Linked DNA regions of Danio rerio. The protein of the gene in region 2 interacts with the protein of the main gene of each other region in a biochemical or structural test. Links are inferred from orthologs where the notes say so. Each region holds a gene or a part of one and is shown on either strand. Other genes may lie near its edges.

Region 1 (8,758 bases), on a different chromosome or scaffold from region 2:
ATCACAAATTAAGTCCTTTTAAATGACTCAATTGTTACTTGTAGACACAAATGAGGTTAAAATCTGTGTAATAAGACAGCCTGGGGTGGATTGCCACCATCCTGGTTATGATGGTCTGCTGACTGGATTTAGTATAGTTTTAGGCTTTTTCCAGCTGATTAGCAGCTTGGGAAAACAGTTCAAACCTGTAAATACCAGCTTAAACCTGCTAAAGCAAAAAAAACAGGAATAGTTCACACAAAACTAAAAAAATATTCATCATACACTTGTCACAATCCTGTTTGAGTTTCTTTTTTTCTGTTCAACACAAAATAAGTTACTTTGAAAAATGCTGGAAACATGTAGCCATAGGCTTCCATTGGATTTGTGTTTCCTACTATGGAAGTCAATAGTTACAAGTAGGAATGGGCAGGTAAGTTTCTAAAGGTATGATTACCTTGGATAAAAATAACACGGTTATATTGGCACCAATAGCCTAGTGGTTAGTGCATTGACACATAGTACCAAGGTGCTCGCGGTGACCTGAGTTCGATTCCTGGCTTGAGGTCCTTTGCTGATCCTTCCCCTATTTCTGCTCCCCACATTTCCTGTCTGTAAAAATCTTTTTCAATAAAGTTGAAAAACCCTAAAAAATAATTATATATATATATATATATATATATATATATATATATATATATATATATATATATATATATATATATATATATATATATATATATCACAATTTCACTGTATCACGGTATTGTGATATTACTTAAATATAAGTTCTTTTTAAATGTCTGGGTAAAAAAAAAAACTTTTTCCCCTATTGAACACTATTTTTATTTTAAGAAACATTTTAAATATTCTGGAAGAGTAAATGTCAGGCTAAATAATTAAAAACCATCTTCTGCTATCTTTAATAGTTTCAAAAACACTGATTGTTTTTACAACAAAATAAAAAAAAACACAATAACAAACTTAAATATACCTTAGGCAGGGTATAACAGAAAATTCTAGCAGTTTTAAACCTTGAAACCAGTTATCGTCCCATGCCTAGTTACAGGTTTCTTACTTTTTTCTTTTCAAAATACCTTTGTTTGTGTTTAACAGTAAAATGAAACTCATAAAGGTATGGAACCACTTGGAATATAAATGATGAGTACATTTAATTTCTGGGTGAACTATCCCTTTAAGACTCCAGAATAATAACCAGTAGTTGCAAACTGTAAAGAAATATGTTGATATAATGCTTCTCTGACCAAATTACCTGCATTAGGCTTAGTAAACCAATAATAAAACATCATATTGTATGACAAGCTGTCACAGTTGTTTCAAAAGACACTTAAGGAGAAACAATCGAGAGTCTCCTGTTAAATGAAAAAGCGGTAACACAATTTCCTCTGTAAAGAAGACTCTCTGGCTCTATGACTGTGTCTCTTCAGTTGGAGATGTATAATTTATTATATTTTTTATCTAAAAGCTGTCTCTCTCTTTTAAAGATGATTTCATCTGCATCTAACAAACTGGCCCAGAAAGAAATAAACAAAGTGTAAATCTTTACTATCCTGGCAGAAAATGCTGTGCTATTATATGGATTATATAGATTATTTTTTTAAACTCAAATGGTTTGTTGCAATTGGTTTCCTCAAACAGTTTGAGTTGCCTTAACCTTTTGGGTCTTACATTACTCAGTTGGTTTGATTTCTATTCATTTATCAGGTTTTACTGTGCTCAGATTGCTTCATTTACTCAAATGGATTAAGTTCACAGTACTCATTAGGAGTAGTATTTAAACTTAAATGGTTTGTTGCAATCGGTGTCCTTAAACGGTTTGAGTTACCTTAACTTTTTGTGTTTCGCAGTGTATGTTGTTAAATAAATAAATGTATATGTGTATAAAAAATAGTGATGTTTGTTTCACAATTACTATCATACAGTGTTCATGAGATGACGGAAGAAACTGTTTCTGTGTCTGTCTGTTCTGGTGTATATAATTTTATATATAATTGTTGTTACAAATTTAAGTGCATTGTACAAAAACAATACAATTGTCACAAAAGAGCCTCAAGAATTGTGTTTATTCAGGTCATTTTAAATAAGTAGTTTGAATAAGTAGCAAAAACTTTTTTTGAAAGTAGATCGGACCACTTTTTTAATGTAAAGACTCAAAATCTGAACACACATGGTCACAATAGATGCTTCTCTGTCTATGTTGTTATCTAGTGGAAACATGGCTTTAGATAAATCAGCACACTCCTCTGTTAAGTATTAATCTAAAAACATTCTAGTATTGATCACACCTGCCAACCTTTTTAGTTCTAGGTAAACTTCTGTAAATGTTTTCCTGTAGCGCTTAGATTATTTTTAGTCAACTATACATGATGTTACCAAATGAGCTGAATTTGGACTAGATCAGCGCTACTTCTACACAACTTGATGCTGATTGTATGCATGCGAGTATGAGGATAATGAGGATGAGGAGCTGGTCCTGTACGTCAGACCCCCAGGACAGTGTGTGGGATTCAGGCCAGTGGTGGGGAATTCCTCTCTCCTAAACTGAGGAGCTGCAGGGTGAGTCAGGGTTTGAGTCAGAGAGGCGATGCACGGGGAGAGATGGACTCAGGTTACTCAACTGTCCTCTGAAGAAGGAGTCTTTCTCTTATTTAAAGATCCCTAACAAAACATGACTCAACATTCTTAACTTAGTAACTGATTCAGCCTGGTTACCTAAAGAATGATCTCAATAAGTCAACAGTCTATGCACTCACAATAGTACGTATCACCCATTTTCATCTTCATCATGGACCACCTCAGGAGAAACCAGTATAAACCAGTATAAACCAGTTTAAAGGGACAGTTCAGTCAAAAATGACAATTCTATTATTATTTACTCATTCTCCACTTGATCCAAACCTTTATGAGTGTCTTTCTTACATCAAACACAAAATAACATATTTTAAAGAATGTTGGAAACCAGTAACAATTTATTTTCCACTGTAGATATTAATGTAGATGTCAAGTATTTTTTATATATCCTTATTTATGTTCAAAAGTAAAAAAAAAAAAAAAAAAAAAAAAAAAAGAGAAAATGGTAATGTTTTGAAAATACTTGAGAGCACTTGAGGGGTCAGTAAATATTAAGAAAATGTAGATATTTGGGTTAACCATCACTTTAATACTACTACCAGCCTATCCTGTGATCATTATGGGACGCATTGTAAAAGAGCAAACAAATACAAATTGTCATACTTTGCTTTATTAACATTAACAGCATAACATGCTGATTTGTAAGTGTTGTAACATAGAGACATTTAGGTGGAAAACGGACTACAATTCACAGATTTTCTATATACATATATATATATATATATATATATATATATATATATATATATATATATATATATATATATATATATATATATTTATATATATATATATATACATACAATAAAAATCATACATTTCTTTCTTATGTTGAACAAAAAATATTTTGAAGAATGTTGGAAATCGATAGCAATTGATTTTCTACCATGGATAGTAATGGATAGGGGTTTCAAGTATTTATTAAAAATATTCACATTTATGTTAAAAAGTAAAAAAGAGAAAATTATAAAGTTTCACTTGAGGGTCAGTAAATATTGAGTAAATTTTAATGTTTGGGTTTTCCATCCATTTATTGCTACTACCTACATATCATATCACGTAATCATTATAGGATGCATTTAAAAAAGTGAACCAATTCAAAGTGTCATACTTAGCTTTAGTGTACCATAACAAACTTGCTTATAAGACACATTTAAAAGCGTGTTAACACCAGATGGAATAAGCGACTAAACTGACAGATTTCCAATATATGTAGACAAATTAAAAATAATAAATGCCTTCAAAAATAAAATTAACTAGAAAATCCTAAATTCTCATCTCCAAGAATCATCTGTCTGAACTGCATTAATAACTGCCCATAACCATTTCAAGGTCTATTTTAATGACCAGGGAATATCCCGGCCTCTGCAGGGGGTGAATCCCAGAACCAGATTCCTCTCATACGGAAACACAGCACAGCCCAACTCTCACGTCCAAATACCTAAGCACTGTGTCATTCTCAACTCTTACAAGCTGAACAAGAGCCAGCAATTTCAAACAATGGCAAGGAATGGATGCTTCACTGGTCCGGCCGTCACGTCACGCTGTTCTTTTCTCCCTAAAATTTCTCCATACTTCTTTCCATAAAAACCTTAATCTTCCAGCGTTCTCCTGAGTCAGCAAAGAAGAAGCTAACAGTGGCAGGGTTCCTTTTCCGTCCACTCGTCCTCCTGTTATGCCTGCTTTCTCACAGCTTTCAAAACTCAAGAAAAAGCTCAATATTTTCTTTTCAAGAATAGAAATATATACTCATTTTCAAATATATACTGCTAGCCTCTCAAAAAAGTGTTACACTGCCTCTTTTAGAGCTTTTCAAGCTACTTGATCTCCTGCTGCCATAAAAACAAATCATATAATGCTAATAAGACAGAAAACTTGATAAAAGCCAATCTTGAAGACTCTCTTGTTTTTCTGCTGTCCACAAAGACATTGATTCAGAAAGTATCACCCGAGGGCATTTCGCATAACCAACTTAAAGTGCTCACACAACAATGAGAACAGCAAGCACACTCACCAGATAATTCATTTTCAGCCCTGCCGTGCGAGTCTCTGGGACTCCAGACAGCACTAAACTGCCTGAGATTTGACCCCCGAAGAAATCCCACTCGGACCGTCCACTCTTTTGTCAGACCTCTCCGCGTCTCCCAGAAAGTCAGCTTCTAACACATACTCCAATTCCGTGATGTCAGAGGGCAAGAACGAGACTGTCCCATATACTTCTGTCTCTTGAAGTCGCTGATTCTCTCACTGCGTCCTTCCTGCGCTCGTTCTCTCCCACCCTCTCCGGCAAAAGGAGGAGGGAAGAATGCACAGGGAAACCTGACACCCTCCCAGTTCCTTCTCAATCCTGACATTCCCTTTCCCTGCTGCCGATTGGCCGAGGACTCTGTTCTTATGTTAATGAGCCTTACACTCTTCCTCCCCCTGCCTGTGAGGAATGTTTAGTGAACCTCTCTGTAGACCTGAGAAACACACACACACATACTGGGTTTTTTGGCCATCACACACAAACACACAGCTTTGTCTAGACCCTTTCCTTCAGCCTCAACTTTTTGGCTTGCTGATTTTGTTGCCCATCCTTTTGTTCCAGCAGTAAATCCATTCTCAAGGAGACAAAAGTTTAACTCTCTATTGACATTTGCAGTGTTTGGAAATGTTTAACCTGTTTTATCTCAATATATATCTTGCCTGAATTATTAAAGTACCATCAATTCAGAAAAGGAAGGATTGGGAAGATTGAGATGGAAAGCTTTGTTATGGATTTATTTACATAGCTATTTATTCAGAGTATTGCTGAAGCAAAACTTTGTTCTTGATTAATTTCCTGTCTCTATTTTAAAGTACAATCATTTAGATGCATCACAAACTACAGAGAAAAAACAGACTGATAAAAAAAACATATGAAGCTTAAAAAGACTAATTATATATATATATATATATATATATATATATATATATATATATATATATATATATATATATATATATATATATATATATATATATATATATATATATATTTATTTATTTATATATATATTTATATACATATATATTATTAAATAAAAATAAATGAAAATCAAATTAAATAGAAAATAGAATAGAATAGAATAAAACTAAATAAAATACAATTTTAATAAAACAAATAAATGAAATAAAATAAAAATTTAATTAAATAAAAAATATAAAATAAAACATAATATAATATAATATAATATAATATAATATAATATAATATAATATAATATAATAAAAAATGAATAAAAGCTAATTAAATCAAATTAAATAAAAATAGAATAAAAAATGTAATAAAAAAATTAAATAAAATGATTGCACATTTGTGTGTACATGTTCGGCTCAGGAATGAACGAGATACAGGTATGTAACAACATTTGTATATAATTTTTTTTTTTTCAATAAAACAACAAATTTGAAAAAAAATCAAAATGCAAAATAAACAATGTGGACATTTTATCTGTATCTATTTAAAAATGAAATAGCTCTGAATGACGACCATTGGTTAAGTAAATAAACTAAGCTAATCTGCCCCTGTTTGCTTTAGTGTTCGCAATTCACCATGAATTTCAAAGCATGACATCATTCGCTGGTTCCCCCATGAGGGAGTGACCAGGTCAGGGGTCAAAGTGGGATCCACATTTAAATCAATGTGGTAAACAGACAAAAGCAGAATGTCCTAATGCACTGTCTCCTGCGATTCACAGATAACAGATAGAAAATCTACTCCTCAGATGATTCTGAGGCACAGAGTAAGTCAACATGCCTTTCTAAAAGTAGTGTCAGAAAAGATGCATAATGACCTCAAACTGCCACGACATCATGGTGTGGCCTGGTGCTAAGGTCAGGGGAGGTCAGGGGAGGTCAGAGAGGTACGAGACAACAGGGCATCAAGATTTCACATCAGCATTCCTAAATCTGACCTGATCTGAAGGAAAATATTCACTCAATTTAAGCTGAAGCCAATTTTGTAATATCACTTGTTGATTAATGGTTTCATAAATGACCTAGACTGAGATAATTTAGTAGAGATGACCATCTCTTTTGGAGGTAAAATAGGATTAAAGACATTTTTCAATTCGCTCTCTAGTTTTCAAATAAAGTTCTTTGATTTTCTTCTAAACCGGTATAACATTTTCATATGTGCAACATAAAAACACATATTTTAAGGAATGTAAAATTTTGGAACAACACAAAAGTACATTACTAATGACATCTGTAGGGATTACATTGTCAAAATCCTTCCAGTGCATTTTAAAAATAACCTAGATATTGCCTTAAAATGTCATACAATCAGCTAGTGCTCACTATACTAATTAACTAGAAAATAATAATGTAAATATATGAAAACAAAGCCTTTCAAAGCTTTTTTCCAGTGAGCCAGTGCTGTGTTTCTCAACCACGCTCCTATCTCTGCAAATTTGTCATGTCTTAATCAAACACACCTGATCCAGATCATCAGCTCATTAGCAGAGACTGAAAGACCTGTAATGGGAGTGACAGACAAAGTAGACATCCAAAATATGTACAGTAGTGCTGGTGGTCCTTCAGAAATGTGGTTGAGAAACACTCAGTTAGTGCTCACTATATTAATTCACTATGAAATAATAATGTATACATTTGAAGACGAAGCCTTTTTTCTGCCTTAGTGTACAGTTATGTATCACTTTAGTTTATAGGGATAGTTCATCTAAAATAATCTGTGGGCTATATGCACAGCTAGTGTTTTTCAGCCAACAAAAAAAAACTTCCGGTAAAAGCTTAATGTGACTATTTTCAATTTCACAAGGTTGCTTTTACAGCATCGATCTTGTAATGTCATTAAAATACATTCAGTTAAATAGACTTAAGCATTTATTTAGTAGTTCAAGCATAAAACGAGACAAAAGGCCGCCCAAAAACCACAGAGTAATATCAACTGACCCAGCCAGGACTCGAAGCAGGGACCTTCTTGCGGTGAGGCAACAGTGCTAACCACTGAGCCACCGATTTCCTCTATTTTTAAACAATTAACCATTAAAAGTTGTTAGAGCACAGATCAACGTCCCATATTGCAATTTGAACGCATAAATAAACTGGAAATGCCCTAGAATCAGAAAAGAAGAGCATCTGTTAATTAACTGATTTATATATTTTACAATGATGTGCTAAACAGCACTGATGCTAATAGAACAGGGACTTTTAATATTGCTGTGTCACCATTATCCCAATGTTTAGTGTATTTAAGCCCATCTTAGTATCCAAATCCATGCTTACAGCCTACCAATTGTGGCAGATCAGGAATTGAGACACAGTCCTCGATACATGAGCAATGGTCATAAATTACATGGCACAACTGGTGTCAGATCAGCAAGATCCCCCCTAATTGAAAGTGCCGCAGGAATTTAAAGCTTTTATTGTGCCATGTCTGGTCTCCATGACAATTGAAAGGCACTTCATCTCACACTACGGAGCGGCTACGGCGCAAGATGGATTTCGATGTCCGAGACGACATTCTCTCTTTCAAACACGCCCTGGGACGTTTGTTAGTTATTTCCATCCGCTAAGCCTGAGTGACATCATGGCTGTCATTGAAATTAGCAAGTGTGCGTGAATTTTGTCACCGTAGAGATTAGGCTATCACATCAGACATCATTTCAATTAGCGCTCCACCCCCTCCCGCTCTCCAGCTAATAAGCTCTCTCCGTCAGCGCCCACTAATCACAATTCTGTTATATAGCGGGTGTTGGGCGACGCTCGTCTAGGGGTGAGAGGTCTAACTGCCTGTCACAAAGCACTAGAGAGGTGAAAATGAGGTGATCTTTGCTTCCTGAATCTTCTTGTGAAGATTAAAATGATTCCACATGAAACATTCTAAGACTAGACTGCCATCAAATATCGTCACTTGGTATTTCCATACATTTAAAATGTGACACAAGCAAGTGGACGATGACTACGATGTTGATAGTAAGCTGTGTGTTGTGGTACACATAGCAAGTGCAAATATCTTGTTCTGGTGTGCTTTCTAACAGCATGTCCTAAAATGATCCTGTTAGTTCAGTAGAGTAGAGCTCTTTTGTGGCATTTAACCACATGAGTATCTACACTACAAAAACAAGTCAGTCTAATTCTT
Region 2 (7,553 bases):
ATCCTGGACAATAAATCAATAGATGTATTATATGTTACACTTATGTTGCCATATAAGAGTTATTGTGTTGAAATTTGGGGGAATCCATACAAATCTAAATTACGATCCTTAAGTACAATACAGAAAAAAAGTAATTAGACTGATGAAAATGTGGGGTATTTGGAGCATACAAATCCCTTATTTTTTCTTTTAAAGATACTTAAGTTCAATGATTTAGTTAAATTTAAAACAGCACAGTTTATGTTTAAAGCTATAGGAATACTTACGAAATGTATACAAATGTTTCTTGAAGAAAGAAAGAAAGATTAAGACGACTTAAAAAATTGTGTCTAGAACTGACTCTCAAACAATGTCAGGATATTCATCAATTTAAAAAGTTGTATAAATATATATTATTAAAGGAATAGAATGATTAAGGTGATTGAAAAAGAATAAAATTAGAAAGGTATAATGAAATTTCAATTTCTGGCTGTTTGCAATACTGTATATTTTGGGTCTGTTATAAAATGTACAAATGGAATCAAACATAATATGTCAAAGATGCCAAAAGGATGAAATATGTCTCAAGCAAAAGAAGAAATTAGTTTAAGTAATAGACAAATGATGTGTGTAATAATGGGGTGGTAAAATAATAAGCTTGTGCTTTATCCCGCTCCATTTTGACCATGTTGAAATGTATTTTTTTGTTAAAGAATTTTAATGTTTATTTCTGTTAGAAACAAATCAATTTATTATAATGTAAATGCTGTAAAAGCAACCTCATAATTTTTAAAATAGTCACATTAACCTTTCACTGGAAGTTTAAGGTGCCACTAGCTTGCATGGTTCGGGATCTGTAGAGCTGCGCATCGATGGAGTTGCTCTTCGGTGTTTGGACTCTCAGTAGTGATTATTAAACCACACTGAACTGAGCTAAACTGAACTGAACTTAAACTCTGAAAACTGAACTACACTGTTTCAATTTACTTTGATCTTTTATGTAAAGCTGCTTTGACACAATCTAAATTGCAAAAGCGCTATACAAATAAAGGTTAATTGAATTGAAAAGTTTTTCATTGGCACTAAAAACACTAGCGCGCACCTTCACATGACACGAAAGAGAATACATTGGTGAAGAAAATCATTTTTTCCCAGTTATTTGGCACACAGACGTTGAGTGGAGCTTTGAATCATTACAGTTGAACCACTGACGTCATGATGGAATGTTTTGAGAATGTTTTTTGGTCCACTCTGTACTTTGAACGTCTCGGCACCGTTGAGAGCAGCAGTTCTATAGGTGAAAAATGTCTTATTGATGACAGAGTTTAGAGGGGAAAGACCAAACTGGTTTAAGCAGATAGAAAAGCAAATGCAACTTGAATAGCCACTCATTACAACAGAGGTCAGCAGAAGATCAACACACAGCATGCAAACTTGAAGCAAGATGAGCTACAGAAGCAGATCACACAGGTGCACCTCCTGTTAAGCAAACCGAGGATCGTTTACGCAGAGTCACCAAAAGTGTACGACAGAAAATAGAAAAGTTTGCTTGGTCTTATTTGATTCAATTTCTACTTTGATGTTCAAATGGTTTCAAAATTATGGTGGAAATAACATGAAAGCATGGCTCCATCCTTTCTCATATCAGTATTGTAGGAGACAACATCTTGGCACATTTTGGCCCCTTAGTGCCAATGAAGTATTCTTCAAACACCACAGCCTACCTGATTATTTCTGTGGAAAATTTTTACCCCTTCATGACCACAGTGAACCCATCTTAAGGATAACACTCCATGTTACAAAAATCATCTCAAACTGTATAATTTTAACATGACTGAGTTCACTGTACTTAAATGGCCTCCACAGTCACCAGACTTCAATCCAATAAAGCACCTTTGAGATGTGGCGAAACGAAGGATTGACGTCATAGACGTGCAGCCAATAAATCTTTGTTGACCTTTCAAATCAGCATGGACCAAAATCTTGGAGGAATATTCATAGCACCTCGCGGAGTCAACATGCTGAAGAATTGAGACAAAAAAGGGTCTCCAACTAGGTACTAGCCAGGAGTACGTAATAAAGGGGCCAATAAGTGTTTTTACATACTTTGTTACTTCAAATAAGTGGCACTTTAGCTTACTACCTGTACATAGTAGCTCAGGAAGCTAAAAAAGTGCCACTGAGGACACCGGTTCAACAACTTTTGGTCTCCAGTTAGTCTGGCTAAAGCTTTGGCAGCCCCTGGCAGTCTTAGACCCCCAGGGCACAGAACCAGTCCACAACCCACACCTGCATACATTTAGTTTCTGTGACATTTTAAATGTGGTATCAAACGCAAGCGTGAACTAAATAGTAAGAGGATGATGAAACAAGCTTAAACTAGACCATACTTCTCATAGATTTTCAGCCTGTAATCTATGATTTAGAATTACCTTACCATTAGCACTCACCGAGAGATTTTATTCATATTAAATCAATATATGAGACTATTAATAATAATATCTGAGGAACTAAGAATGAAATAAGATCAAAAGCAATAAAACAGGAGAATCAGAGATGTATATGTTTATTACCACAGCGTCTGCTCTGTATTCTGTCCAAAAAAATAAAATTTCAAATGTCAATACATCCAACTGGAACAAGCATATGCTTTACTTACAAAACAAAAAGAATCAACATTAAAAAGGACACAACAGGATGTTGGGAAGAGAAACTAAATTCTCAGCCTCGTTACAGAAAGGCCAAAGATAACTGAAAGACGACAAACAATGACACAGACAAATAAATTTCTCTATATATGCGTATGTGTGTAAATAAAGCCGGCAAGAAGAGACTTTACATTCTGCGGTCCCGCTTTGGGACCAGATTGTGAGAGTCACTACGATGAATGGTGGCACTCGTTATGACAAAACCTTCAAACCAAACAACAATTGCTTCAGCATGTAAAACATCGAAACCCTACAGACAGGAAAAACCACCCAGCGACCCCGAAAAAAATGACCATTCTGGACTGGTCAAGCAGCAGTCAGAGAGACACCACACAAAGCGAAGTCACGATTAAAAGCGTTTCAGGCCTCGGTGCACCTTAAAGAAGAGGCTTGCTTTTTGTTTTGAGGTTACTGCATTGGACTTGTTCACACATTGTTCAAAAGTAACAGTTCTGCAGCGTGGTTTGATTGATTTGAAGGAAATGTTTATGCCCGTCTGCCGTTAATCTCTCTCGATAATAATTACTATAATAATAGAATAAAACAGTAAAACACAAAGACAGCTCACTGTCACTGGTCGTATCTCTCTTTGCATTCATTCGGTGCTGGTGTTATGTTTTTGTTTTGGTTAGTCTGACCCCATGTGAACTTCGATCAAATCATGTGACGTGGGTCAGAATCATCTGAACTTATCTGTATTGCAGCAGGAGGGAAAACAGAAAAAAACAAACCCCATCCAATCCTCTGAAATATCTCATCATACTCAATACTGCCACCTGCTGGTCAGACTATCATTAAACAAATGAGAAAATAAGAGAGTATTTAGAGGTTCTAACAATGAAGGATTTGGTTGAAATCAATAACTTGATTTCCACAGCAAACTTTAATTGAAATGTTATCAAAACCCATATAAATTCACAATGATTATTTCAAATGACTGAAATGCCAGCTCTCATTGGAGATTATTAATCGGCCGCAGTCACTATTATTGCATTGGGCTTCTGTAGAAAAAGTTTGTACTGAACGTCTAGACACCAGCTCCAGCATTTTCAATGATCTGAACCTTTTGGTTAAACGAAGACTGATTGGACAAAACGTCGAATGAATGAACGAGAGGACGGTGCTTCAGTCACATGATCTCTTTTCATACACAGAAGTGCCAGTGTCACCTTTGGGGGTACACAAAGATGGAAAAAAAAATGTTTAAAATGAGAAAAAGTTTGGGATGTTTTACACTCTGAAAGTAGCGTAACACTGAGCACTTGATAGTATTCGACATCCCAGTCTACTTGTGACCTCCCTTTTTTCCAACACACACGCGCGCGCGCACACACACACACATACAAACAGATTTTTTTTTTATCACGTACAGCAGGTTTGTGTGTTCAGCATGTATAAAAGGAGCTCCTGAACAGCTCCATCACTGACAGTCGTCAGAATTAAATTGCAAAAAACAAAAAAACATGATGGAGACACACACACACACACACACACACACACACACACACACACACACACAGACACACACACACAAAAATTTCCCTTACTTACTGCAGCAATAAGAGTCTTTTGGATTTTCTTTTAGCTGTGTATAACATTTGGGTAGCAACACCTGAATTGTGAGGCCCTGAGGTTTTAAACGGACACACGTTTATTAGATTGTGTGTGTAAAAGTGTGTTTAGAGGGAGACAACAGCAGTTTGGCTGAGAGGAGTCTTTGAAACCCTTTCTCCACTTGGAGAGATGGGTCCAGCTGAGAGAGAGAGAGAGTGAGTGTCTGTGTGTGTCTCTCTTTTTCTTATCCCGCCTGTTATCGGAGAGATAGAGAAAGAGACGGATGGAAAGAGAGGACATCAGTGGAAATATGTGCGGTAACAATAAGCACCTACGGCCAGTGCCGTGCACAAACACAAGCTGACCACCAGGGGGCTCCAGGCTTCTTGGGCGGCAGTGGTAGGAGCCTCCGTTGCAGGAGTTAAGGGAGGAGATCGCGGAGGTTTGGGAGGAGCTTCTCTTGGGATGATCGGTTCGTCGGGTTGTTCATTTACCAATGGCAATGCTCCGACTTCTGCTGGGACTGTTCGTTTGCGAATTTCTGGCCCGTCTGTGAATGTCTTGGGCGCACTGTAAAAACACCAGACAGGTTGGGATGTGCTTGTTGGGTTTGGATGATAATTACTAGTGAGAAAGAGAGGCTGACCTGTTTGCACATATTTCTGCACTGTTTGTGATGCTCTCGGTGAAGAGGTGTGCGAGGTCAGAGTTCCCTAGGTCACCTTTGCCGTTAGGAGGGTCTATTCGGGGCGGTGGCCTGGGCGGAGGAGTTAGTTCAGGGGGAAGATCCTCCTCATTGGATAACTCCTTCCAAGACTCCTGTTCACACAAGCAAAACACATTTCACTGACTGAATTTCTCCTGTGAAATTTAAAATAAAGTTTTTTAGATGTCAGTTTTAGTCTTAGTTTTAAGAGTATCTATTAGATAGTGTGAACCAAACAGTGACAAAATAAACGGTAAGAAAATCTAAAACTGATATAAACATCCAAAGCTTGCAGATTGTCACTTCAGCCCAAACGGATCAATGATTTTTATCAAGTAACCTCATACAGTTTCTCAACAAATCTCGAGACTCCTATCGCTCAATAAAAAAATATCGCCACAATCTATTCTCAAAGTTGGGTTAGGAGCTGGGTCAATTCTACGCAAGCTATGATGACTTTCACCTTGATATTTTAGCACGGATGTATACCTGACTGGTGAGCTGTCTGAAAAAAAAGTGCCCTTCTTAATCAAATCAGCAGGATGCCTGACTTTAACAGCAGTTCGGTAGTTTTTACTTTAACTCATGAACATTTAATTCATCCTCCGTGACAAACTGGGGTATTAGTCTCAAATAAGGACTGGTGAGAGTGTTATAAAATTTAATAACGCACACCAAATGGAAAGCAAAAAAACTTCTGCATTTTGAAATATGCATGTGTGTGGTCCTTTAATGACAGCCGCGTGTGTGGATCTTGTCGAAAAAAATGGCGAAAAGTCCTACATGACGGTGATAGTTTGATTGCGGTGTTTACTTCAATAATGCCCCTAATATATGCATACTCCATGTCTTAATTCCATTTCTGTTCAGTTCAGTTATGACTTAAGTCAGATTAAGGTTATCTCAAACATTTTTATATATATATATAAATAAATAAAAATCACTGGTTCGAGCTTATGTAGGCCTACAGTTCAAAACTCTTGTTTAACTAAAAAAGCAGTTGGTAAACACAAGTACATCTTATTGAACATCATTCATTTTCATCACTAATTATCATAGTAGAACAGTTTCTCAAGCAGTTTGTGATGCATTTTGGAAACAGGAGATGAGCCCCAGGGGTCCGTTCTTCGTACCTCGCTTAAATGATCTAAGATGATTTGGCAGATCCTGGATCTTTTAATCTTGATAACTGATCTTGATAATTTGGTTCTTCAAACAAGTTATGAAATCAGATTAAAATGTCTGGATAAACTAATCTGAGATCGCTGCATGTGTTGTAATGGACAGATCTATCGATCCTCGAAATCATGATTAGCAATGTAACTATTGGCTGATGGCACAGCAGCGTAATGACATCATCTGATTAATATTTAATTATCCATGTGAGCAAAACTACATCAAATTAGCAGTAAATGGTTTGTTAAATGTGACGCGCAATAACTTTCCACATTTGGTGTGGACTGCAGACTTTACAAGTGTCAAGAGTATTCATCATGTATTTCAATGCATATCAATGTATTTAGTTCTACATTTAGAGAAGATTTTCTATATTAAAGTAGCCTAGGCATACTCAAGTTTTTTAAATAGCGTAAGGAATAACTGTATAAATTAATTTAGCATCAAAAAAACATTTTGATATCGGTAAAGGTGTAATTTAATGCAATCACCAGAATATTAGTGTTCAAAACATGTGCATGACTGCATAAATTATTACATTTAAAAAAAAACATTTATGAAGTCTAATATTCTGCATGTACACGTTTGCATCTAAAAAGTTCCTATCGATAAATTTTCTCTTTGAACCACCAGGTGGCAGTCTTTTACTTTTATTTCGGAGTGCAGATTGCATAAGTTTTATCAATACATCTTTTAACTTGTATACTATTTTCCCAAGTGTATATAAATAGTGTAAGAAATTATCAGCATTTGGTAATACTTTCAGTATTATCTTTGCTTGTACTGACCCGATCTAATCCTGTTTTTATAAAATGAACCTGCTCCTACGCAGGTTTGATCTATCAGAACTGTTGCTATGACAACAAGTCTCAGATGAGTTTTGAAGAACGAAACGATCCTGGATCGTGTCAAATCGTCAACATCCAAATCCAGCTAATTGAGTAATCCACAAACAAAGAACAAACCACTTGTCTAATGCGCCATCTGGCTTGAGAAACCCATTCTCAAAGAATTATTTTTTGGTTAGCACGCATTCTGAATGCCTTTGGCAAAATTCAAATGAGCCATTTTAATCTTGATAAATTCCAAGATTAATTTAGATTAAAAAAAATATGTAATCAATGCCCACCTATAGTTTCTGTTCCTTCTTAATGCAAACTGTGTAAAGAATTAGCGATAAAATGCTTATGAAAAACAGTTGTTTGCTTATCTTCAAGCTCTGCTTCAGTTGCTTGACACGTGTGCACGTGAAGAAGCCGGTGAGTGCCAGCGCACACACACGTTACATACATCTCGACATGTGAAAGTGTTGCTCCATGTTTTCATTGAAGCTGCTCACAATACTTATTCATCCACAGAATTTGTAATGTAGTCAAATGTGTAAACATTGCAGCTGGAAGAGCATCCGCTGTGTAAAACATATGTTGGAC
Region 3 (6,672 bases), on a different chromosome or scaffold from region 2:
TATGGGGAGCAGAGAAGGGGGAAGCATCGGCCAGGAATTGTACTCGGCATATATATGTGTGTACTGCAAACGGCATTTGTGTGAGACTCATCATTTCAGAAAGGCTTAAATAAACTCCTCCACAAATACATGTAATAAACTTACTTGGTATTTTTGACTAATGGAGCTGTATTTCAGCTTTATCAGTGTCTGTCTCTATCACTGATGTCTGTTTAGCTGACGTACTGCATGATGAGAAGCTGTTACGACTAAAGTATTTGTTTATTTTTTGTTGCGCATTGCATGTGTCTTGCATGTGTTCCGCATTTTCTGTTGTTTTCTGTTATTCCATAGAATCCCATTCTAATGTGATCCAAGCTCTGATTGACTGCTGGTCGCAGAGGCCTATTAAAAGGAACTTACGGAAGGGTTCGGGGAGCTCATTTGTGGTGCAAGGGTTGCTGGGAGTGGAGAGCTTCTGGATTTTCCCTACCTCTCCGGCAGACGACCAACCTTTAGTCTTGTACAACTGTTCATGCTTGCAACGTTTTGAGAGTTTGAGCTTGTAGAGGTGGCCTGCCTATTTATTTGATTACTTTTGACTGTTTATATTTAAGGAGGAAGGTAAGCTTCTTGTATTTTTCTTTAAATATACATAAGTAATTTAGTTCATTTACTTTGTCTTTTGTTTGTTATTTTGGCCTATTTTTCTATAATAAATCTATCAACCACTCTCATCTGAATGTCCGAGGGGGATCTTTTGCATCAAGTTTTTTGTTTTGTTTGGGAAATCCACCACCCACAACACTTTTTCCCCCGTTTATTAAGCCCATGTTGTTTTCCCCTAGTCTTGGGGTGTAATAGAAGCAGACACGCATGTGGAAACGGTGGGTGGGGAGAAGTAGATTATTTGCATTTAAAGACATGCTACAGAAACAGCTACACTGTATTCAGACACCGAAATGTGCAGATTCTGGTTACTATAATAAATAATCTGATGAGTATTTTGAGCTGAAACTTTACAGACACATTCTAGAGACACCAAAAGATTATTACATCCTGTAAAAGGGGTAAAATAGGTGCCCTTTAAGATTTTGTAGATATTTGGACTAGAAACAAGACAAAAACTTTAAACAAGAAAAGCATTTTTTACAGTGTAACCATTATTATTTTTTTTTTTTTAATTTTAAAGTCAACTTCAGTATTGTCGAGGTTGAAATGAAAACTTTAGCTTGTTTGCACTTTTGACTGACTGTAAAATCAAAAAAAGAAATGCAAAATTTGGCTCGGAGAGAGAAAGCAGTTGTAGCACCTAAGCTCACTATATACATGAAAATTGCTTTTCCCAATGGAAAAAAAAAAAAAAAAAAATGAAACTAAAATCTTGGAAAACTAAGCATTTCGGCAGGTGTCCATATCCGAGACTGTGGAGGCTGCAAACCCTTCTCTCATGGGTGACGCATGATCAGAGCTCAACTCCATGTCCAGAGTGAGGGATTCTGGGGAAACATGGCAACACACAGTATTATAAGAAGGTGGGTTGGCTGTAATAAGTTACTTTCATTAAATTACTTATCCTCAAAAAAAAAAAGTAAGGGATTTTTTTTGTTTTTTGTTTTTCAGCCAATGATAAACTTCCTGTGAAAGGTTAATTTATTTATATATTATTTATTTCTTGCCACATCAGCAACTTATGGCTATTTCGTGGCAAAATGGATGTACATAAAATATTAAATGATAAAAACAAATTCATATTACAAAAAAAAAGTTACATAGACAAATATATAAAATATTAATAGATAAAATGGCACACATTTCTTTTTCAAAGTTAAATATGATATTTCAGTTCAATTTTTGATAAATAATTTAAAACTCTTCCGGGTGGTACCTTTTTAAAGATGTCCATCAAAATACCCTCCTTATAAAAATTTTGTCAAATGGATTTTAAACTTCTACATTCCAACAAAATCTGTTTTATGGTAAGAGCAGCCTGGCAGTACATTACATTTAGGTGATTCTTCGTTATTCAGCAAACCTAAAATGTCCGATTCGACATCTGGTATAGACCGTTTGATCATGTCTGGTCTCAAAACTATAATTTGCTAAATGCCTTTTGTTTATTTACGGGTTAATTTCATGTAATTTATTTTTTATGCAGTTGTCCCATTCTCTTTGCCATATTTCGTTTATGTACAAATTGATTGTGGGTTACAAACAAGGGTAAAAGGTTAATGTGACTATTTTCAATTTCATATGGCTTCTTTTACATCATCCATGTTGTAATGTAGTTAAAGTACATTCAGTTGAATAGACTTATTCATTTATTTAGTTGTTCAAGGGAAATCGAAATTAAAGACCAAGTAACCACTAGCAGTCAGGATCAGCAGGCGAGCGCAGAAACTCTGACAGTAGAAACACTGGGGTAAAATAAACGGCCACATTTTTAAGATGTGATGGCGGGAAATGGAATTTGACGCAGTTCTTCTTGGCCGGTGTGAGATCCACTTTATATCCTATATCTATCAGGCAGTGAATATCATTAATTTTTTAAAGAAATCAGACCTTAACATGGCAATTTTATAAATGGAAAGATTGCTGAGGCTGGCTGACTAAAATTAAAAGTCCATGTGCATATAACCCATTACAGTTACACAGAAACTTAAATTCAACAGTTCTTTATAAATTAATTTTGAAAAACAGAAATTATTGTATTGTTTTTTACTATACAAATATATTATATATAAAAACAATAGTTTTTCAAGTAAAGGTGACATTTATCAAGACAACATAACATGCTTAAGAAACAATAAAAGGAGTGATTAATTAATTCATGATAAAATAAATATTACTGTAGACTAGAACAGTGTGATTGTATTTTCCTCTTTAGATACTTTGCGGGTTAAATAATTTCATTTCTCAACTAAATGTTGGATTTGTCAGACAACTGCACATGCCTTGGAAAATAGTAATTAGAAAAGTAATTTAAATACACGTTTAATGATGTAATTATTTATTATTAATACTACTATTAGATTTCTTTTTGAGCCCACCATTCAATCATTTTACATTCTTCTGTAAATGGGAGTAAATATTTATTCTTACACATATTACATTATCGTTTTTATATTAATTAGAGCAATATCATTGACAAATAAGCAGATGTTGAGGATTTATGTACAACATAATTTGTAAACTAATGATTCCTGTTTTTAGTGGATGTATTATATGAGAGATTTACTGTAGCTTGGTTTATTAAACAAGTGATTCTAATTGTATTTGCACTGTAAACCTTATATTTTATTATTGTTATTGCAAGTTATTGTATCATGATGGTTTGTTCTGTAGACTATTGAAAAACATTTAGCTTAAAAGGGCTAATAATTTTGACTCTATTGCTTTTTAAAAAAAAAATCAAAACTGCTTTTATTCTAGCTGAAATAAAACTTTCCCCAAAAGGAAAAATATTATCAGACATACTGTAAAAATTTCTTTGCTCTGTTAAACATTATTTGGGAAATATTTAAAAAAGAAAAAAAAAAATCAAAGAGGGGCTAATAATTGTGACTTCAACTGTATGTGTATATAACACACGGTAAATATAAATATATATATATATATATATATATATATATATATATATATATATATATATATGAGCAATATCACACGAGTAGCAGTGCGATATGGCTGTATATCGGCACTGGTGGGAAGCGTGCGTTGCCTTATCGCACTGCTACGAGTTTGACAGCATAATTGTGTATATAAAAACAAAATCAAACTTGGAGAGTCTCAAAAACTCTTGTGTATGAGGAACTACTTTCTTCCGGATTCAAATCATAAGCTGACAGTTAAACAGTTGAGTGTGCATCTTTTAAACTTTAGATCTGTAGTGTCTGCTTTTTGCTGGCTGTATGTGGGCGGAGTAATACACAAAGGGTTAAAGAGGCTGTAGGAGTTCTGATATTGCAGAATATTGCATGGCTATCAGCCAATCAGATTTGAGAACCAGACAGAACTGTTGTATATATATATATGTATATATATAATGCACACATATCTTATGTCGAACAAACTTTTATTTTGTATTCGACTATTTATAAATATGTATCTTTTTTCATAAACATGATAAGCTGTTGAAACGTCATGACTCACCGAGAGGTCCTGGATTGGCCTCAGCAGCTTCGTTGTGCATGAGAGAGTCGAGCGTGCGAGGCGACATTGGGAACAAATCGCTTGTGTTGCCAGAGTTAGTCCTGCAAAAGAAAGACATTGACATTAGACATGATGACAAACGAAACGCAAACAGATGTGTTGATTTAGTAAGAAATCTTTCACAGCATGAGTCGGCCTCCGTCCTAGTTTACATATGTGTCAGAAACACCTACTAAAACTCACACAAACCCACACTTAGAGTCGCACACATGGACACCACTTGCTTAATACTGAAAGTTCACCCAAAAATGAAACTTCTGTCATCGTGTACACTCCCCTCATATCCTGCATGACTTTCTTTTTTCAGTGGAAAATCAGATATTTTGAGAAATGTCAGCAATGTGGAAGGGGTTCAGTCATACAGGTTTCAACAATCTTATAGATAGGCAAATTAAGTTCATTTTGGGGTAAACTAACCCTTTAACAGATTGTTATCATGAATGTTAGAGGATGTTAAAGTGGCAGATTAAACATCAACAGCATTGTCATTTGAAAAGAAACATGCTTTTCATTAGTTTAATTATTATTTACATTTATTAATTGACTGAATTTATAGAAAAGGTTAGAAAGTGCCAATGAAATTTAAATACAGGCGTATTTCTGGCATTTTGCAGATTTGGCATCCACCACTGTTCATTTTTAATAATCACAGGCAAACCTGCTTGGCCTGTTTGGATTTGGTTCATGAAGACATCCTGTTTGATTTTTAATATAAAGCATTTGTATTGAAGTTTGGTTCATTGATGAGCTTGTGTGCTCATAGATTTATGAGCTTGATGCTCTTTAGTGTTTCAATTGAAATTTTGGTTTTCAACATTTCTACTAGCAGGACCTGGCAAAAAATGATTCTAGAAAGCTTTTGGATAAAAAAAGCATTTGGATTCATTTTGGTTACTTTATGAGATTGCTCTTGTTTTATTTTTAAAATTCTTCTAGTGGGACCCGGCAACATAGTTAAAAATAATCTAAAAAAAAAACAACAACAAAAAAATTAACCAAGCTGATTTTCAATTAAAATTTTGGTTTTCAATATTTCTTCTAGCAGAATCTGACAAATAAGAATCTAGAAAGTTTTTGGAATAAAAAGCATTTGGATTTATTTTGGCTCATTTTTGAGCTTGTTCTTGAACTAGTTTTTTTATTATTATTTCTTCGAGCGGGACCTGGCCACATAATTGATCTAACATAAAATTCATTCATTCATTTTCTTTTTAGCTTAGTCCTTTTATTAATTTGGGGTCGCCACAGTGGAATGAACCGCCAACTTATCCAGCATGTGTTTTACGCAGCAGATGCCCTTCCAGCTGCAACCCATCACTGGGAAACCTAACATAAAACAATCTAACAAAATTCATCTGACTAATCTGACTTTTCAATTTGAATTTTGGTTTTCAATATTTCTAGCAGGATCTGGCAACAAAATTAATATAGAAATCTTTTGTAATAGAAAACCTTTGGAATAATTTTGGTTAATTTATGCACTTGTTCTTGTTTTAGTGATTTATTTTTCTAGCAAGATCAGGCAAAAAAAAAAATCAGTTTAACAGACTTTTCAATCAAAAATGTTATTTTGGTTTTCAATATAAAACATTTTGGTTAATATATCAACTAGTTCTTTTTTTCTAAGGGGTATTCAATATAAAGCATTTCGACTAATTTTGGTTAATTTATTAACTTATTTTTGGTGCTTTTTCTAGCAAGATCGGCCAACAAAATCAGTCTAATAGACTTTAAAATCAAATTAAAATGTAGGTTTACAAAAGAAAGTATTTTGATTTATTTTGGTTATTTTATTAACTTCTTTATTAAATTCTTTTTAGTGCCTTTAATAGAATGATCTGGCAACAAAAGGAGTCTAGACTCACCTCTTAACTCTGCCATTTTCTTCTAATGTTAATAAAACCCCATTACAACCAATTGCAGAGTTTGTTTGTACACAATCTAAACTTCCGGAGTTTATTTGATTATTGCTCCTGATAATTAGGCACTAAAAGATCTAATTTATCTACAGTATGTTGCATACAGTAAAGCGTAACCTACTTTTAATCTGACCCTAACTATGGTGTCCTCAATCATTAAGTCTCAACAAAGAAAATGATTTACTAGGGGGCAAAGTTTAGCCATGCATGTTTGTGAACACTCCAAACAAATCATACGGGGAGTTTATTTTAATAAAGTGGGATTTCAACACCGTTTCCTGCTTGTGTCGAGACAAGAAAACAAACACAATTTGGCAGCTGATGTTCTGTCTGTTCGGCAAACACCAGCAAGGTAAGATTAGATCATATAGCAAAGAATTAGGGATGTTTCTGGTGGTCATAAACTATATGTCAGATTAATCAACTTGTATGAGCGGTATTATTTCCTGCTGACTCGAGACATTTTACAGTTGTATTAAGACAAGTTGCCAGGTATTTTATGAGAAATCAGCTCTTAATGAATCTAATAGAGTATTATCCAACTCTTGACATATCTTATTCT
Region 4 (7,836 bases), on a different chromosome or scaffold from region 2:
CTCCTCAAGGAGCTCCAGCACCCAAACGTTGTACGGTATGACAGATTTCATTACATGTTTAACAAAACAAATAATTTAGAGTCAATCAGATTTACTGTACAGAAAGTGCTGTTTGTATGCCTGTCTCTGTGGTGGTGGGTTAAAGACGGGTTGGTCTAATACAGCTTTATATTTTACTCTCTATCCATTGGAATGTGTTTGGTTTAATATATTTGTCCTGAACAATAAAAATAGTTATGACAGGATAATTGATGTCATCACCCACAACAAAGTAATATATTTTAACAATATTTAATATACCTCGCAAAAAAAATTGATCAGCATATTGTTATATCAGGAATTGTGTGATGACATTAAAATGCTGTTAAGGGTTCACAGTTTAAAAATGTATGTAGGTTGATAAACTACTACTCAAATTTGGGTGCTGTTTTTAATGCTTACCAATGCTTTGTTAATTTGATTAAAAACTATTGTGAAGTCTTACCACAGATTAATGTCTGTTATAAATGATGAATTTTCAGCATTATTACTACAGTCTTCAGTCTCATTATTCCTCAGAAATCAATCTAACATACCATTATTACTCCAGTCTTCAGTCTCAGTGCTTCAGAAATCATCCTAATAAGTTGATTTAGTTTACATTTATGTATATTACTAGTATCATAGTATAAACAGTTTTTGTTTTTCATATTTACTATGACAGTATATGTACTATTTTTACAAATAAAGTGTTTCTCTTTTTCCCAGCCTGCTAGATGTGCTGATGCAGGAATCCAAATTATATCTAGTTTTTGAGTTTCTGTCCATGGATCTGAAGAAATATTTGGACTCCATCCCATCAGGCGAATTCATGGATCCTATGTTGGTCAAGGTGTGTATTTTTTTTATTATTTTATATATATATATATATATATATATATATATATATATATATATATATATATATATATATATATATATATATATATTTTTTTTTTTTTTTATTTATTTATTTATTTATTTATTTTTTTTTTTTTTGGTACTGTAAATACAACGATTTTGTTTCATGTGCCTTTCATGCCCCGAAATACATAAATACTACATTCCTCAATGTTTTATAATGGCATGTGTTTGGATTCTATACTATAGTATTGAATGTGTATCTTGAAGTAACCGTGCTGATGTGTGTTGTCTATGTAGAGTTACCTTTATCAGATCCTGGAGGGGATTCTGTTCTGCCACTGTCGCAGGGTTCTGCATCGAGACCTGAAGCCCCAGAACCTGCTTATCGACAATAAAGGTGTAATTAAACTGGCAGATTTCGGCTTAGCCCGTGCCTTTGGGGTCCCAGTAAGAGTCTATACTCATGAGGTAAGTACACACATCCCACAATGGAGGCCACATTTCCATCCGCTATTACATTCACACTTAAAAAAAAATAGACATTTTTGTAATTGAGTAAAGGTGACATAAGTGAAAATTTAACACAAACTATCTTCTGTCAACTATATACTTCATTTATACCCTAAGAAAATCAAAGAAAATACTGAATGTGTATTATAGATGTATTCTTCGAGCTAAACCTATGATTTCTTTAAATTGGAAAAATGGATGTACACCAAATATAGGTTACTGGCTGAAAGAAATGGTTTTAAATACGACAGTAAAAAAGATAACCTATATATTAAAAGATAAATGCAAGGTTTTTGAGGGAGATCTTTCAAATTGTTTAGTTGTACTTTTTTAAATTAACTTTATCATATATTGTACCTATAATGTGGCTATTTCACACAGTCTCTCTCATTAACTAGCTTTTACTAACGCAATGTGTAAAGTGTTTTATCGTCACTTTATAATAATTTAGCAATTTAGGGTGTTTATTTTAAATATGAATATACAATACACAATTATTATTTTTTTGTTATAGCTGTTAGAAGTACTTTTTTACAGCTTTGGTCTATCATGATACAGCTTCAGCAGTTAATCGCAACAAGAAAATTTGATACTGGCAGAAGCCTAATACCAGTTGATGATACTTGCTCAAAATGTTATAATCACTAATGCTGACGTGTGTGCGCATGATTATGATTGTGCAGGTGGTCACTCTGTGGTACAGAGCTCCAGAAGTGCTGCTGGGGGCTTCACGCTATTCCACACCTGTAGATCTCTGGAGTATTGGCACCATCTTTGCTGAACTCGCCACCAAGAAACCTCTCTTCCATGGAGACTCCGAAATAGACCAACTCTTTAGGATCTTCAGGTAGACAAAGTTCAGGAATCAGTGTTGACATTTATTTATTTATTTATTTTTTATTTTATTTTTTTTTAACAGAGTTTTAAAAGTATAAAAGAAGTTTGAAAAGGTCAATTAGGGCTGTACTTGGTAACAAACTTATTTGCTCGTGTTAAACTGCACAGACATTAGGGTACAATATTGTATTTATAGTACAACATGTATTCTCTATGATAATATAATTGTTGTATTAGCGCACGTGTGAACATGTTTGAAAACCTTGAAATAGACATTCTCTTTTCTCTCTTACTCATGAAAACAATAATAAGTAAGGGAATATATTAGTAATTTTATAAAAGGGGAAATTATAACAGTAAGAGAAAACTTATAAAATGATAAAGTAACAATAAAGAAATGGTAACAATATTAAAAATGGTAACATTAACAAATAACCAAATAGCTAAAATTAAATCATGAACTAATGGACGATTAATGATAAAATAATCAAATAACATATCTAAATGACAGATAATTATAGATGATTTAATTAAAATATGTATAAATAAAAATAAAATTGAAAATAAAAGAAAGAAAATAAAATGCAACACTAATGTGTAGTTCCTTTCCTGAAGCAACATACACTAGTTCCAATAAACCTCCTCTGATTCTTTGTAGAACTTTTTTAGGAGGTTTTATTATTATCATTTGTAGTAGTTGTTGTTGTAGTTGTATTTTGCTAAGAGTTTTTAGAAGAAGAAAAAAAAAGTAAAATCCCAAAATGGGTCTTTTTTTTTTTTTTTTTTTTTTTTTTTTTTTTTTGTCAATGAAACTGGACCAAGCTTACATGGCATTAAAAATCAACAAATATTTATCTACATGCACATATTATTTTGATATTTGACACTAAGAACACTGATCAATAATCATTTTAACTTAATATAGTCAATATAACAATAGCAAATAACAAATAATAGCATTTTCCAGAAGTCCACTAGAAATCGATACTAACCATATGACTTTGTTTGCTCACATTGCAAGTTTTTTAGTGAACAGTTAATCTGTGCATATCATTATTTAAAAAAAATAGTTTGACCTTATCTTTAATTAAAATCTGAAAATGCACTTCGTTTTTCTTTTTTTTCTCTTCTCTTCAGTTAAATTGTCTGATTATATATATCTTAAGTATTGGGCATAGCTTTAACCACGCTGCTCCAACTGTCAGTTTTGACAACAAATGGTGAGGATGAGGTGTCTGTTAGGTAGTAATAACTCTCTTCTAAAACCCATTTCCAGATCTTTCTGTATGAAATGCTTATTTTATTACATCTACTCCGCTTGAAGCAACAATAAGTGAAGTTTCACAAACAAATTTCGAGAGGAGCACGTGATGTGATTGATCGCAGCTGGTCTCTCATCTACAATCATTAGTTAGCAAATCAGATTAATCCAAACTTACTATAAGTAGGCCAGCAAAAAAATACTTCCTTATCTTCCTTTTTTCAAAGAAACCCCCCCCCCCATCCACCCCTTCTCCCCCTTTCCTCCTTTACCACGGGGAGCTATCGAGAACCACCTGATCTCGTACTCCCCTTACATGCTCTATCGACCAGGCGGGAGCCCTGGGCTCAGTTATTGCTGAGCTCAGGGTTCTTTCCTGGGACAGCATGCCAAACCTGCTATCATTGTCAAACAATATCTAAGTGTGAACTCTTGAAAACAAAAATATGATTGCAGCTTCTGGTTCATATGGACTTACTGGCATACAAATAAAATATGGCTTTAATGTAGTTTTGTAAACTGGAATGCAAACATTTCACTAAAAATATAGTATTTTTCTTTTTTTGTCTTCCCTCTCTGTGGTTGATCTGTGTTTTAGGACTCTGGGGACCCCTAACAATGAGGTCTGGCCAGATGTTGAGTCTCTGCCAGACTATAAGAATACCTTCCCAAAGTGGAAATCTGGGAATCTGGCCAACACTGTGAAAAACCTGGACAAGAATGGCATCGACCTTCTCATGGTAAAAGACTGTCCTGATATGCTTGTGTCCTACTTGTTTCTTTGTGTTCATCTCACTCACGTATTTTCATTTTCTCCTTTGTTTAGAAAATGCTGATTTATGACCCCCCTAAGAGGATTTCGGCACGACAAGCAATGACACATCCGTATTTTGACGATTTGGATAAGAGCAGTCTTCCAGCCAGCAACCTAAAGATATAAACACAAACACATGCATACTAAAGCAAGCAATGTGAGCGTAGGGCTCACGGTGAATTCTGGGAGTTCAGAGAGCCCGGAGATGTAGATTTACTCCTCCAACCTGCAGTAATGCAATCCGAGTCTTTTGACACGCAATAATCAACCTTCAGTTTGTTTGTTTGTCAACTGGGTGGTTTTTCCTAATTTTGTTTGTTTTTTGTATGTCTTTTTCTATCCTGTTATATGTTACATAATACCCCTTGTAAATAAAGCGTGTATTTTTTGTCGACCTGAAGTGGTATATAAAAAGAATAAATTAAGGTGTTCCCAATTAAGAGCACTTTGTAGGATCCCATTTTGGGCCGATGTCTTTATCTACACTAATGCAGATATTTTTACATTGTGTTTAAAGTGGGTGTTTTTCTAGAGATGCTCAAAATTATTACAAACAATTATATATTTAAGATGTTTACATGTACATGTTATTTTGATCTTTTAAAGGCACAAAGAACACTGATCAAAAATCATTTTTAAATTGCTTCTATTTTGTTTTACTTGATAATGACAAAAACACGTAGTAATTGATAACATTTTCCAAAAGTGCCAGATAAACATACTGGCATACAAATAAAATATGTCTTTTATGAAATTTTAAAAGACGCACAAAATGCTAATTATCGTGGTTAATAGTATTATGCAATATCTGTGGTGCAGAGAAGTGTGATGAATGGATTTCTTTATGCCAAGCATTTGTGTGTTGCAAATTACCTCCAATTAAATACACAATTAAGAGTAACTCATTTTCTGATGACGTGACCCATGTTGTTTAATCTCGAGCCCTGTCACAAACACAGCTTGTTTTAAGCCAGCCTATGCTTGATGAAGTTCCAACGAAAACTCTTGTGCTGGTGATCCTAATGTGAACAGACGCTATCTATAGAGGATGAGAGAGCGCTCAGATTTCAACAAAAATATCTTTATTTGTGATCCAAATGAAGAAGTGTTGACTATTTAAATTTTTGGCTGAAATAATTTTAAATTAATTTGTGAGAAATTATAACAGTTATGTGTTGCAAAATGTACTCACCAGCACACAAAATGACTGGTTTTCTTCTGCCTATATTTTGTTAATTATTTTAGTATGCTAAATCGGCTCTTTTCCTTCTTTTTTTGGTAACCAAACACAAACTTTTCCAGAATGTCGCAGGGATGTTTTTTCACTATAAAATAAAAATCTGTTCAATTGAAATTCTGAGGTTGCCAGAAATTTACAGTTAAATATTCAGTAGAAACAAATTCACAGTAAACTCATTCATTCATTTTCCTTTTGGCTTAGTCCCTTTATTAATCTGGGGTCGCCACAGCGGAATGAACTGCCAACTTATCCAGCAAGTTTTTATGCAGCGGATGCCCTTTCAGCCGCAACCAATCTCTGGGAAATCACAGTAAACTACCATATTTAAATTTATAAAGTTACATACACCATTTTCACCTGCCATTATGATATGTTTACTAATGATAACATAAATATTTGTCCTCTGATCTGTGCTATAAATGCAATTTCTGTATGACTCAAATGATTGCAATCATTTTTTATAATTACATTTGCTGAATTTTCCATATCTTCTGTTCATTTATGGCATAGGAAGTAAGCTGAGGTAGCACCGAGTTCCTCACATCAGATTGCGCAATCCCTTGCAATCTGGCTTGAGCGCCTGCCTTTTGCTCACTCAGTGTGCTACCGATGTAATGCTTTATTAAAATGCTTTAATACATTGTAGACTTTTTTATTATATGCCCTCACTTTCCATATTATAGGTAATGTATTTCACGTATGTCTATCACTTATTTAGTGTTAAGATCTGTCATAAAGCCGCAGTGGCGGATTTGGGCATGGGCGATCACACAAGGCGGCATCTCGCTGGGGGCAGCACAGAGAGACGGAAAAAAAAAAAGTGCCCCAGTAATAACTTTTATTTCTTGGGTAGAGGATGTATTTGGGGTGGTTCGCTCAGGGTGCCATTTAAACTAGAATCGCCAATGAAAAGACATGAGGTGAGGCAGGCAGTAGCTCTGCCGCAATGAATAGGGTGCATGTGAGCTATACGGTTATTCTTGTTCAGTTGTTGCTCTTATATTTTGCTTCAACTGACTGCAAAAATTACGGATATCAGCTCAAGAATTTCTCAAAATTGGACTTTTAATCAAAACGTGGATAAATAATGGACGACCAATGCCGGAGCTAAAGGAATTGCTTCAAAGGACGGGACAGAAGAGAACGCGTCCATTTTAAACTAGTTCAAGTCATTTCAAGACTCCATTTACAAGTACTGTAGGTAAGAACAGTGAGCGAATCGTGTGTGTGTATGAGAGAGAGAGAGAGAGCGCATCCGCAGCGGTTGCTGTGTGTGTGTGTGTGCTGTGGCATAGCACAAAATGCATGGGCCTACCCGCAAGAGTTAAGGTTTGATTGCGTGAAGAGGGTTGGAGGAGGTGCTTATGATCGCACGAAGTGAAGACTAGGGGAAGGGTTCTTATGATCGTGCAATACATTTTACACTTTTCCTTGGCCCAAGATGTACCTGCCATGTGTCTACAAAGAATACTGATATAAAACACAATCAATAAATCTGATTCATGACTCTAAAAGAGTGCCTCACCAGCCACAAACCTCACCGCACATTACTGATATACATCAATGTGAGATATATGAGTCATTCTCATCGCAAACAGCTTTCCCACAAGCAGAGAAATAAACAAAACTTTACTACTAAAGTAACTTACTACTTACAGCGTGGGTCTCAAACTCGATTTCTGGAGGGCTGCAGCTTTGAACATAATTTACTTTAACCCTTATCAAACACAGCTGATCCATTTAATCAAGGTGTTCAAACGAGTCTGGAACAGCTTGTTTAGTTGGATCAGCTGTGTTTGATGTGGGTTGGAGCAGAGCTGTGGCCCTTCAGGAATCGAGTTTGAGACCCATGACTTATGATAACACACAAAACTGGAAAAGTCAAGTTCGTAGACAAACTATGGTGTCTTGAGAAAGCCTCGTCTGAAAGTTTTAAATTGTTTTAAAGTTTAAATAATTGAGGTAGTTTTAATAAGTTTGAAACAGTTATAACTACATACAGGCTAGCAGGAGCACCTGCAGGATTTTATTACAAGGTACGCACAAATCCAGCACCGCCCCGCCCCCTTAATCCAATCATGTCTAGAAACACTGTTGCTTACTTTTAAAGGCTACGTTTCGTTATGAAATAATTTGTTTCCTTTTTAATTTTAATATTTCGTTGAAAAAGCACAACAGCATCAAGGAAAAATCAGACGCAAGACGTAATCTTTAAAATTATTACATATTAAAAAATTGCAAGTGTGTGTCATTGTGATAATGCCTCACTATTGTAATTAAATCCTTACTTAC

Evidence for each region.
Region 1: the proteins of ptpn1 (region 2) and bcar1 form a complex in vitro, tested with the Homo sapiens proteins (3 studies listed by BioGRID and IntAct, with this or other methods). The link is inferred for Danio rerio from reciprocal best matches to the Homo sapiens genes PTPN1 and BCAR1.
Region 3: of the proteins of ptpn1 (region 2) and stat3, one has a biochemical effect on the other in vitro, tested with the Homo sapiens proteins (2 studies listed by BioGRID and IntAct). The link is inferred for Danio rerio from reciprocal best matches to the Homo sapiens genes PTPN1 and STAT3.
Region 4: of the proteins of ptpn1 (region 2) and cdk1, one has a biochemical effect on the other in vitro, tested with the Homo sapiens proteins (2 studies listed by BioGRID). The link is inferred for Danio rerio from reciprocal best matches to the Homo sapiens genes PTPN1 and CDK1.

The regions. Positions count from the first base shown.
Region 1 is NC_133193.1:23,994,121-24,002,878, reverse strand, and holds the start of bcar1 (breast cancer anti-estrogen resistance protein 1), read right to left. Parts: upstream 4,883-8,758; 5' UTR 4,658-4,882; coding exon 4,646-4,657; intron 1-4,645. UniProt on the Homo sapiens protein: Docking protein which plays a central coordinating role for tyrosine kinase-based signaling related to cell adhesion. Implicated in induction of cell migration and cell branching. Involved in the BCAR3-mediated inhibition of TGFB signaling.
Region 2 is NC_133183.1:30,340,971-30,348,523, reverse strand, and holds the end of ptpn1 (tyrosine-protein phosphatase non-receptor type 1), read right to left. Parts: intron 5,061-7,553; coding exon 4,888-5,060; intron 4,812-4,887; coding exon 4,541-4,811; 3' UTR 2,530-4,540; downstream 1-2,529. UniProt on the Homo sapiens protein: Tyrosine-protein phosphatase which acts as a regulator of endoplasmic reticulum unfolded protein response. Mediates dephosphorylation of EIF2AK3/PERK; inactivating the protein kinase activity of EIF2AK3/PERK.
Region 3 is NC_133178.1:15,776,308-15,782,979, reverse strand, and holds the end of stat3 (signal transducer and activator of transcription 3), read right to left. Parts: intron 4,233-6,672; coding exon 4,132-4,232; intron 1,479-4,131; coding exon 1,372-1,478; 3' UTR 932-1,371; downstream 1-931. UniProt on the Homo sapiens protein: Signal transducer and transcription activator that mediates cellular responses to interleukins, KITLG/SCF, LEP and other growth factors. Once activated, recruits coactivators, such as NCOA1 or MED1, to the promoter region of the target gene.
Region 4 is NC_133192.1:22,202,409-22,210,244, forward strand, and holds the end of cdk1 (cyclin-dependent kinase 1), read left to right. Parts: coding exon 1-35; intron 36-747; coding exon 748-871; intron 872-1,179; coding exon 1,180-1,350; intron 1,351-2,075; coding exon 2,076-2,239; intron 2,240-4,088; coding exon 4,089-4,230; intron 4,231-4,316; coding exon 4,317-4,430; 3' UTR 4,431-4,764; downstream 4,765-7,836. UniProt on the Homo sapiens protein: Plays a key role in the control of the eukaryotic cell cycle by modulating the centrosome cycle as well as mitotic onset; promotes G2-M transition via association with multiple interphase cyclins.